3 linked regions of the Canis lupus familiaris genome follow. The protein of the gene in region 1 interacts with the protein of each later gene in a pairwise test. Links are inferred from orthologs where the notes say so. Each region holds a gene or a part of one and is shown on either strand. Other genes may lie near its edges.

What was found.
Region 2: the proteins of FAM131C (region 1) and VSNL1 interact in binary tests that used the Homo sapiens proteins (3 or more experiments, as listed by UniProt). The two-hybrid records come from large-scale screens. The link is inferred for Canis lupus familiaris from reciprocal best matches to the Homo sapiens genes FAM131C and VSNL1.
Region 3: the proteins of FAM131C (region 1) and HPCAL4 interact in binary tests that used the Homo sapiens proteins (3 or more experiments, as listed by UniProt). The two-hybrid records come from large-scale screens. The link is inferred for Canis lupus familiaris from reciprocal best matches to the Homo sapiens genes FAM131C and HPCAL4.

What each region holds. Positions count from the first base shown.
Region 1 is NC_049223.1:81,089,184-81,092,544, reverse strand, and holds part of FAM131C (protein FAM131C), read right to left. Parts: intron 2,534-3,361; coding exon 2,418-2,533; intron 1,177-2,417; coding exon 1,141-1,176; intron 912-1,140; coding exon 818-911; intron 1-817.
Region 2 is NC_049238.1:13,155,319-13,158,141, forward strand, and holds the end of VSNL1 (visinin-like protein 1), read left to right. Parts: intron 1-1,341; coding exon 1,342-1,539; 3' UTR 1,540-2,323; downstream 2,324-2,823.
Region 3 is NC_049236.1:3,269,783-3,273,282, reverse strand, and holds part of HPCAL4 (hippocalcin-like protein 4), read right to left. Parts: intron 3,217-3,500; exon of another isoform or gene 3,115-3,216; intron 1,107-3,114; coding exon 937-1,106; intron 798-936; coding exon 582-797; intron 1-581. UniProt on the Homo sapiens protein: May be involved in the calcium-dependent regulation of rhodopsin phosphorylation.

The DNA of each region.
Region 1 (3,361 bases):
AAGCCTGGAGGCTATTTCAGAGATGAGACGAGGAGGAAGGCATGGCGGATTCGGGCATGGTTCCAGGACCGCCAGGGCTGAGACGGCGGGGCGGGGGGGCGCTAAGACTGGGGTGACAGAAGAGGCCGGGGAGCCCCTCGGGGGTGACACTTAGGGCTGAGAGAGCCAAGCTGAGGACTCGAGTTTTCCTTCTAGCAATGGGGAGCCATGGCAGGGTAATGAGCACGAGCATGACAGGTTAGATCTGTTGTCGAGGAAGAGCATCCTACGAGGGGATGGGGCCAAGGATGAAGATGGGGCTCCATCAGGCACCCCTGGGGGGATCCAGCCAGAGAGGAGGCAGAGGCTGGGCAGTGGGGAGGCGGGCCCGAGGGGCTCTCGGGGGTAGGCCGCCTGGATGTGGACGCGGACCCAGAGGGCCGTCAGGCTTCAGTGTCTCTCCCCGGGGAGATGTGAGCCTGAGGTATGTGCAACAGGGTGTGAGCAGAGCCGGCCGGCCGAGAATGGCCTGGAAGGGGTGCTGTGGGTGACCCGGGGCAGAGGCTATGGTGGCCCCCGAGCCCCCTCTGCTGGCCCGCGTGCCCACCTCCCAGCAGGTGCCACTGCCTCCGGCCTGCAGCCCTCTCCGGAGCCTTGCCCTTAGCTGCCGGGAGCGGCCTCACTAGAGAGCCCGGGGGGCGGGAGAGCCGATGGCAGGTGACAGCCACACAGCCGCCAGCCTCCACGCCTCCGGCTGCAGTTCAGCTCTGCGCCCCCACAGCGAGGGACGAGGGTGGGCCGTGCTAACGCCAAGGCGGGAGGGGGCAGTGGAGCCTACCCACAAGGGACGAGGTGGCCAGAGCCGCCACGTTGTAGTTGCTGGAGCAGGACCTGGAGTCGGACAGGTAGCCGTTGGTGGTCTGGAAGCACCTCTGCGGGCAGGAGAGGAGGGGTGAGGAGGGTGGAGCAGACCCGCCAGATGCCACCTCCCCGCCACTACCATCCCCAGGAGGCCCCCTCCCCAGGGGGCCTGCCCACTCCACAGGCCCGACCCCCCCACCCCGCTGCTGCCACCAGGGCCGCCCCCCCCATGGCACCGCAGACCGATGGGCGATGGTGTCAGCTGCGGCTGACAGACGGGGGTGGGCAACGTGCACTGACCTGCCAAGGATCCCAACAGAAATCCATCTGTTTGTCCTAAAACAAGAGGAGAAAGAGGGTCAGGCAGGGCCTGGCACCCAGTGCCAGCAGCTGGCACACGTCCCGGAGCCCCGGGGGGGTGGCATGGGCCAGCCCTCTGCTACTCCCTGAGGCCCTGGGTCTGGCTCCTCATGGGTCCTGCCCTGACGTTCCCTTCTCATGCAGACAAAGACGTGCGGCAGGGGATGGGCCATGGCGCCTCTGCCAGGAAGGCAGAGGGGACGGGGGTAGATTAGATCTGGGTTCGAGTTCTGACTCTGCCCTTTCTACCTGGGTATTCTTACACTAGTGCCTTAGCTGCTCTGAGCATCCGTTTCTTCCTCCGTAAAACGATGATAAATGCCATTTATCTCAGGGGTTGTGGTGAAGCAAATGACATAACGTGGGCAAAGCGTCTAGCATAACACCTCGCGTGTGGCATGTGCTCAAAAAAAAAAATAATTATATGAACCAGTAGGTTTAAGCCACAACCTCTGGGGGTGGGGGTGGAAACGACACACCCCAGGAGGATATGAGGCCCCTCACCAGCTCTTCCTGATACATATGGAAAAAGAATGCCACTCTTGGGGAGCCTGGCGGGCTCAGTCGGTAGAGCACGTGGCTCTTGATCTTAGGGTTGTGAGTTTGAGTCCCATGTTGGGTGCAGAAATGACTTAAATAAATAAACTTAAAAAAAAAAAAAAAAGGACGTCTAGGTGGCTCAGTGGTTGACCGTCTGCCTTTGGCTCAGGGTATGATCCTGGAGTCCCGGGATCGAGTCCTGCATCGGGCTCCCTGCATGGAGCCTGCTTCTCCCTCTGCCTGTGTCTCTACCTCTTTCTGTGTCATAAATAATTAATAAATAAATAAATAAATAAATAAATAAATAAATAAATAAATATTAAAAAGAGAGAAAGAGAGAGAGAATGCCACTCCTTTACCCTCCAGAGGGCAGGGCAGGCTGCTAAGGGGTGGTGGGCTGGTCAGGGAACTTGTTATCTGCAAAGCTGAGTTAATTTGGGTGAAAAGACCTCAAAGGTAGGATTCTTCTGAACAAGCCTGGTCCAGTCCCTGGATGCCCAGCCCGATTCAGACCTTCATCCACATGCATACCACACATCAGGGACTCTAATCCCACACCAAGTAGCCCACGAGGGAAAACTGGAAGAGTCTGGGCTCCCCGTGGAACAGTGTAGGGGACATCCCAGGAATCAGGGCCCAGGCAGGGGTGAGGGTGAGGAGCAAGAGGGACCAGTTACCTTGCCAGTGACATGGTCTGGAGCAATAGTAGGTTGGTGCCCGGAGGGCAAGTCCGGGTTCAGGGGGTCCGTGCCCTGCGGCATGGGACAGTCCTTGTGGGCACTTGTGAACAGATCTGGAAAAACAACGACAGGAGGAACTCAGAAAAAAACAAACAAACAAAAAAAACCATACTTTCCTCCTTATGAAGCTTGTTCAGGCCAGCCCCGAGGGATGGGCACTACTTTGTTGTCACCTGATGAAACAGGGTGTCGTCGTGTAGGAAAGAGACCCAAGCCCACGGCACGTGAGGCGTCCAGCCAGATCTGCCCCTGCCTGGTGCCCTCAGTGGGAGTCCTTCCCCCGCGGCCTGTTCTCCATTTTCTTTAATTCTAGCACCCCCTGGGCCAGCCACGACCACCTGGTCCAGCCTACAAGCTCTCCTCCACAGATGCCCTCGACTCCCAGCCCCGTCTGGTCTCACCCTCTGCCGGCCCCCAGCCCGGGCTGCATGTCGCTGGCCTCACACGGGACGTGGTCGGGGATCCTTCTACACGGCTCCAGGCCCCGCTGTTTGCTTCCCGTCAGGCTGCCTACCCGTGCGGCTCTCCTTCTCAAACCCCTGGGGGACGGGGAGCAGCACCCTGCCTGCACCTGCTGCTGGCTGCTCTCCCTCCCTCACTGAGATCCAGAAGCTTCCACAGGCCTCGCCCCACTTTCCCACCTCAAATCATCGCCCTGGCCGCATTTTGCCCAGACCATCTGCTTTCCCTCCTGTGACAAAGGAAGAACTGTCCCTACTCCATCCAAGACCAGCTCCCCTCGCCCTGGCGGCCCCCCCGGCCTGGCCTGCCTCCCCCCACCACTGCCCTGCACTCTCTCTCCTCTCCTCTGCCCATCTGCTGTGTCTCCCTCTTGGTCCCCAGCGTGGTGGCCGTAGTGTTTCTCCAGTCGGGGCTCTTGC
Region 2 (2,823 bases), on another chromosome or scaffold:
CCCCACCCGAGGAAGCTTGGAGCCTGTGCTGCGCGGCTTCCTTTCTTCCCTGCCCGGCCCCCAGTTGCGTCCCCCGACCCCCGACCCCCGTCCCCCGTCCCCGGACCCCCGTCCCCGACCCCCGTCCCCGCGCAGCGCTGGCAAGTCCAGATCCAAGCCCCCGGGCTCTGACGCCGGCGCCAGGGCTGTTCTCAGACGCGGGGCTTCTGCCCTGGGCTTAGCGCGGCCCTGCTGGGCGCCCCCACTTCCTCAGCCAGCTTTCCCCTGGTTGCATAAGATGCTGCCCGTAGCTCCTCTGACATCTTACAAAACTTTATCGAGTTATAATTTGCAGACCATAAAGTCGCCCATTTTAACTGGACGATTAAATGATCTTTAGTGAATTTACCAAAGTATGCAGTCATCCCCATAATCCAATTTTAGGACGTTTCCATTCCCCCAGTAAGACCTCTCATGCCACCTGCCTGTTCCTGTTACAGACTCAGATGACTCGGCTCTTCTTTGTCTCTATGGATTTGTGTCTCTGGACATTTCATATAAACAGAATCAGACAATATAAGTATATGGCCTTTATGCCTGGATTCCTTTTTTAAAAGAATCTATGTTGTAGGATTTATCAGTATTTTATTCCTTTTTGTTGCTGAAATAGTATTCAATTGTATGGATCTGTCATATTGTTTACCTGTTTACCAGTTGATGAGTGCTGGTGCTGTTTCCACTCCTTGGCCATTATTAATAATGCTGTTAGAACATTCACCTGCAGGTCTTGGTGTAGATGGGCATTTGTTTTCCTTCAGGAAGTTTCCTAAGAAAGTTGTTTCTATCTAGGACATCCCCATGTTGAGAATTACTTGCGTACAGTTAAGTGAAAGTCGGAATTCTTTAACTTATGAACAGAGTCCCTGATCCACAGATCTCCCTAAACTAATCTTTCTGGGCTGAACATTACTGGGCCACCTTGCTTGGTTGTCTTAGCAAATGATTGTAAGTTCCTTATCAGTTGGGACCACATTTCTCTTTTCCTAAATCTTCAAGGGCTACTGCTTGGTGACTTTCATCTGCACTTCAAACCCAGAATGTTTAAAACCGAGGTCATCATTTTCCTCCTGAGTCTTCTCCTCATCCATTAATCTTGCACTTACCACCGAGGTACTCTGTCTCCCCACTTCCTCCAACCTGGGAGTCGGATGAAATTCTTTTATGTCCAGTTGGTCACAAGACTCACACATATTTGATTATATCGCTGTCTTATTTAAAACGATTTAGGAATCCTTTGAAGTAAATTTAAATCTTTTATCATATCATGGGAGAACTTTACGCTCTGTTTCTGGTTTTCCCAAGGCTATCTATAAGATGGTAGGCACGGTGATCATGATGAAGATGAACGAGGATGGTCTCACGCCTGAGCAGCGAGTAGACAAGATTTTCAGCAAGATGGATAAGAACAAAGATGACCAGATTACACTGGATGAGTTCAAAGAAGCTGCAAAGAGCGACCCTTCCATTGTATTACTTCTGCAGTGCGACATTCAGAAATGAGCTGAGGTCAACGCTATGGACTGACAAAAGTCTCAATGTTCCATTCAGTCTGCAGCTATTCACACACATACACACACACACACACACACACGCACACAAATATTGCTTGGACTACCTATCAATGGACTTGCTTCTTGTGTTTGAAACACTTGTGTGCATGAGAATGTCATTTGCTAATGAATTTTAAAAGCATATATTATAAAACAAACAACCTGCCACAATGTGATATGTGTAACATCATTTCGTAAAAACCCTTCTCCCTTCAAGCCTGGGCAGAAATGTGCTGCAAAAAGTTCTATGGTTTCTTGTTCATGTTTTGCTAATGCTCGTGTCTCCTTGATTACATGTTAGTAGCACTGAGACCCCCCTGGTAATGTAACTTAATATAAGCTGTGTCACCATTCTCGTGTAAAATAGTACTGGACAGGCACATGGAGAGGCCTTGGCTTCCCTGTGTGGTCCGCACTCAAGAGCTTGTATTATCAGTGAAGATAAATGTGCTACCTTTGCATGCCTTTTAGGTTTGCCTTAACTCTTACCTCATTTGCATTCTATCAATCTGGAAAGAGCTATGTTGGAATTACTGCAGTATAAAACTTAAAAATCCTGCTACATGACTCATTAATTAAGTATATCTCTCTATATATACATATACACAAAGATATTATTTATTGAAAGTAAAAAAAAAAAAAGCTGGAAGTGTATTGATTTCTGCTTGAATTTTCAAAGGCTCCCAAAGAGGTGGCAATAGATGTCCCAAATAAATTTATAACATTTGACTTTCTCCCTCAATTCTTATTTCATAATTTTAAATCTGAAATGGATGTTCATGATTATCAAGGGTCAGCTAGCAGCAGCTTAGCAAATCTACTCTGAAATACACAACCTCAGAATTCAGAGAATTAATGACAACGAAATGGAGAAAAGCAACTTTCCAACTCTACATCCTGGCCCTCAAAAGAGGGGCAATGAACATGGTAGGTGAAGTTTAAATAAAACATGAAACTTCTTTGTTCTCAAAAAAATACCCATTGTATAAAATTAAGTTTCATCTTAATGTGACTGGGTGCTAGCGACACATTACCTTCTTCCCATGGTGTGGAGGACACATGCAGCCAGCTGAGAAGTGTCCTCCAAAGGCAGCCCGTAGGAAAGAACACTGCTTTCTTTCCAAGTCAAAAGTATACTAGTTGTTATTTTTATTTTTAATTTTTCTTTTCTTTTTTTCTGAGAGAGAGAATGGGGGAGCGGCAGAGGGAGAGAAAAATCTTAAGGAGATTCCAC
Region 3 (3,500 bases), on another chromosome or scaffold:
CCTCACCTTATTCAGGTTGCTGCTCACATTTCACCCCATATACTGCTCCTCCATCCTTCTCCCTCCCCTTACTTTGCTTCTCTTCTTCATAACACTTTCTGTTTGACATAGCACAGGTTTTTTTCTTGTTGCTTTTAAATCTTCTCACTAAAAGAGTGTCCAAATAATTAAGCAGGAACTTTGAACAGTGCCTGGCTCAAGGTAGCCACTCAATACATATTCGGTGAAAAAATAATGAGTTCGAAACTTAGGCTCTGGAGTCAGACTCCTTGGATTTGAATCAGGAACCATCACTTGCTATGTTTCCTCCTCTGTAAAATGGGGTTTCTGTTAGTACCTACCCCATAGGATTGCTGGGCAAAGCACTTAGTACAAGGTCTGTCCTACACTGTGCACCCAACCAACGCTAGTTAGCCACTGGGTCCTGGGAGGCGGGGTGTGGGGACAGGTGGAGTGCATCCAGGATGCTCCTGAGGGCCGACAGGAGGGTGCCTGGAGAGGACTGGAGAGGATCTGCCTCGAAGACAAGGAGGGGCATCACCCCAGCACAACCTGGCCTCCCCGGATCAGCCCCAGCGCACCTCGATGATCTCCAGCATCTCGAGGCGCGTGATGCGCCCGTCGCCATCCAGGTCGTACATCTCAAAGGCCCAGTTGAGTTTCTGCTCGAAGCTGCCGCGGGAGGTGACCGAAAGGGCACAGATGAACTCCCGGAAGTCGATGGTGCCGTCGCCGTTCTTGTCGAAGGTGCGGAAAGCGTGCTGCGCAAACTTGGAGGCGTCGCCGTAGGGAAAGAACTAAGACGTGGAGGGAACGTTGGGGAGAAGCCCCAGCCTTGCTGTCCCTGCCCGCCTCCTCGATTGCCTGGCCCCGCCCCCGCCCCCCGGCCCGCCCCCTGGAGTTCCCTGGCCCCGCCCCCGCCGCCGGCCCGCCCACCTTGATGTAGAGCTGCTGGAACTCCTCCAGGTTAAGGATGCCGCTGGGGCAGTCCTTCAGGAAGCCCTTGTACCACTGCTTCAGCTCCTGCTCGCTGAACTCGGTGTTCTGAACCAGGTCCTCCAGCACCTCTGGGGCCAGCTTGCTGTTGGTCTTCCCCATGGCAGGGCCTGGGGGGCAGGACCTCCTTCAGTTCCATCTAGGGCAAGGCCCTCACCTCAGCAGCGATCCCCCAGGACCCCATAGGACAGGGTTCCCTTTCTCCACAACAACCCCTCCCATAACAAACCCTACGTTTCCACAGCCAGGATCCATCCTTCCACAGCAGGGTGTGTCACCACCGCCCTCAACAAGCCCACCTTCCTAGAGCTAGGCCCTATGGTTTACACGCCTTCCGTAGGAGGTCCTGCCTCCCGGCCCCAACACAGACGGGAATCTCTCCCCCTATCAACGGGCACCCCACAATGGCAAGGGCTCCTTTCTCCACAGCAGCACCCCCCTCCTCACAGCTGGTTTCCTCTCCCAGCACCTAGGATCTCCGCCCCCAGGTCTCAGCGCCCCACCTTCTCCCTGATGGTGCTGATTGATGCACAGTCTTCCTGCATACCTTCCCTCTCTCGCGTACACCTGCCAGAGCTCCCCACACCCCTAGAACAGAGTCTTAATCGTCTCCTTGCAACTTAGAGCTTTCCCCTCAGCCCCTAGCCGCCTCTGCAGGCTCTTCTCCACCCAGGGACCTGAGGAAAGTTCCTCATGTGTCCCCCCCGGCATTATCTCCCAAGTTCTCCCTCGAGGCTTTCGGAGCCACCCCAGCAGGAAGCTTCTCTCCCTCCTTCCTCTGTACAAATAGAAGTCCTAGTCGCATTGAAGGCCTTGACTCATCCTGCTTTTCATTAGTCATTCAGTCCCTGAGCAATTATTGAGGCTGACTGTGGGTGCTAGTCCTGTTCCATGATGGGGATAAAGTAGATACGGGCCAACCTTCAGTAACTCATACTTGGGTCAAAGAGGTGGCTGGCTGATTGTCAAGGGCCTTCCATCCATGCTAAGGGGCTTGGCCATTACCCATAGGGATTTTAAAGCAAGGGCTAGGAAGATAGCATTCAGTGCACAAACAGACGCTTTCAGCAGCAGGTCCTGAACTAGGTGCAGGGATGAGAGAGAAGGAATGTGTTTAGAATTTTTTCCTTTGGCTACAGTATGCAAGACGGCCGAGTGGTGGGAAGATGGAGAGCAGAGATGGGCCTGCTGCATAGTTCAGGTGAGAGATGGTGACACTAGGGCAGAGGCCGTGGGATGACGTGGATGGATTGAGACATGTTAGGAGAGGTGGTGGCAAGGCTTGGGTTGGTGACTGAATGTGGGGGGTGTACAGAGAAGTTGAGGCAGATGCTTAGATTTGGGGCTGAATGGGGGCACCTGGGTGGCTCATCTGCCTTTGGCTCAGGTCATGATCCCGAGGTCCTGGGAATGAGTCCCACATCAGGCACAGGGAACCTGCTTCTCCCTCTCTGTGTCTCTTATGAATAAATAAATAAAATCTTAAAAAAAAAAAAAGATTTGGAGGTGGTGTTGCTGAGAAGCAGGTTCTGTTCCCCACTGGAACAGAAGCCGCTTGTGTAGCCTGTGATGGAGGCAGTTTCTGCAGGAGGCATAGGACCTCCCCAGGATATATCGGGAGCGAGGCCCTACCAGGCCCTGAAGGTGGACATTCTCGTCTGACCTCCATGGGAGGAATATCCTGAGTTTCCTAGGAAGCCTGAGATTCCTAGGACATGGCCCAAGAGGTAACTTTGACCTGTCTGGGGTCTCTCTGGAAGGGCACCAGACTCTGACCCCGGGGTAACCAATCATGAAGATACTCTGGAAAAGGAAGTTGTCGGGCCAGCAGAAGGATTCCACTTCCTTAGCCCGCTGCATGCCAGCATGGTGGCTTCTCATCCCTACTGCTAGGAGTGCCCTGAACAACCAGATCTGAGATTGGTCTCTTCCATGCCCCCTCCCTTGCTAGGTGGCTTCCAGTTAGTTATAGGATATCTCTGGGCCTCAGATTCCTCCACGGGGCCTTGAGGAAGATCAAGTAGCAGCAGGAGTAGCAACATTCTCCTCTACCTACCACCCCCAGAGGATGTGGAATCCTCCATGCTCCCAGGAGAAGCCAGGGAGGGGGAGGCATACCATCTTCAGGAACCTGGAGGTGGAGTCCAGGACAGCTACACTGGGCACAAGGATGCTGGCAGTCCCTTTAAGCTATTTCCTTATTTTAGTGAAAACTGGAACCTGGAGAAAGGAGAAAGCTGGCTCGGAGTTACGTAGCAGGTCAGTGGAAGAGTCCAGATGAACACCCAAGCTGAATCCCTGCCACCCTCTCCAAATTATGGCTCCTCTCATCCAGAATAGACCTTCCCTACTCCTGCCTGCCTTCCGGGAAAACCCTAGCTCTGTTCTCCCTCTTGGCCTCTTACTGAACTCCAGGCCACCGTATCTGACATCTAGGAAATATCCATCCCTGGGGGTGACCCAACAGCTCCCCTGACTCCACTCATCTACAAGCAGACACCCTC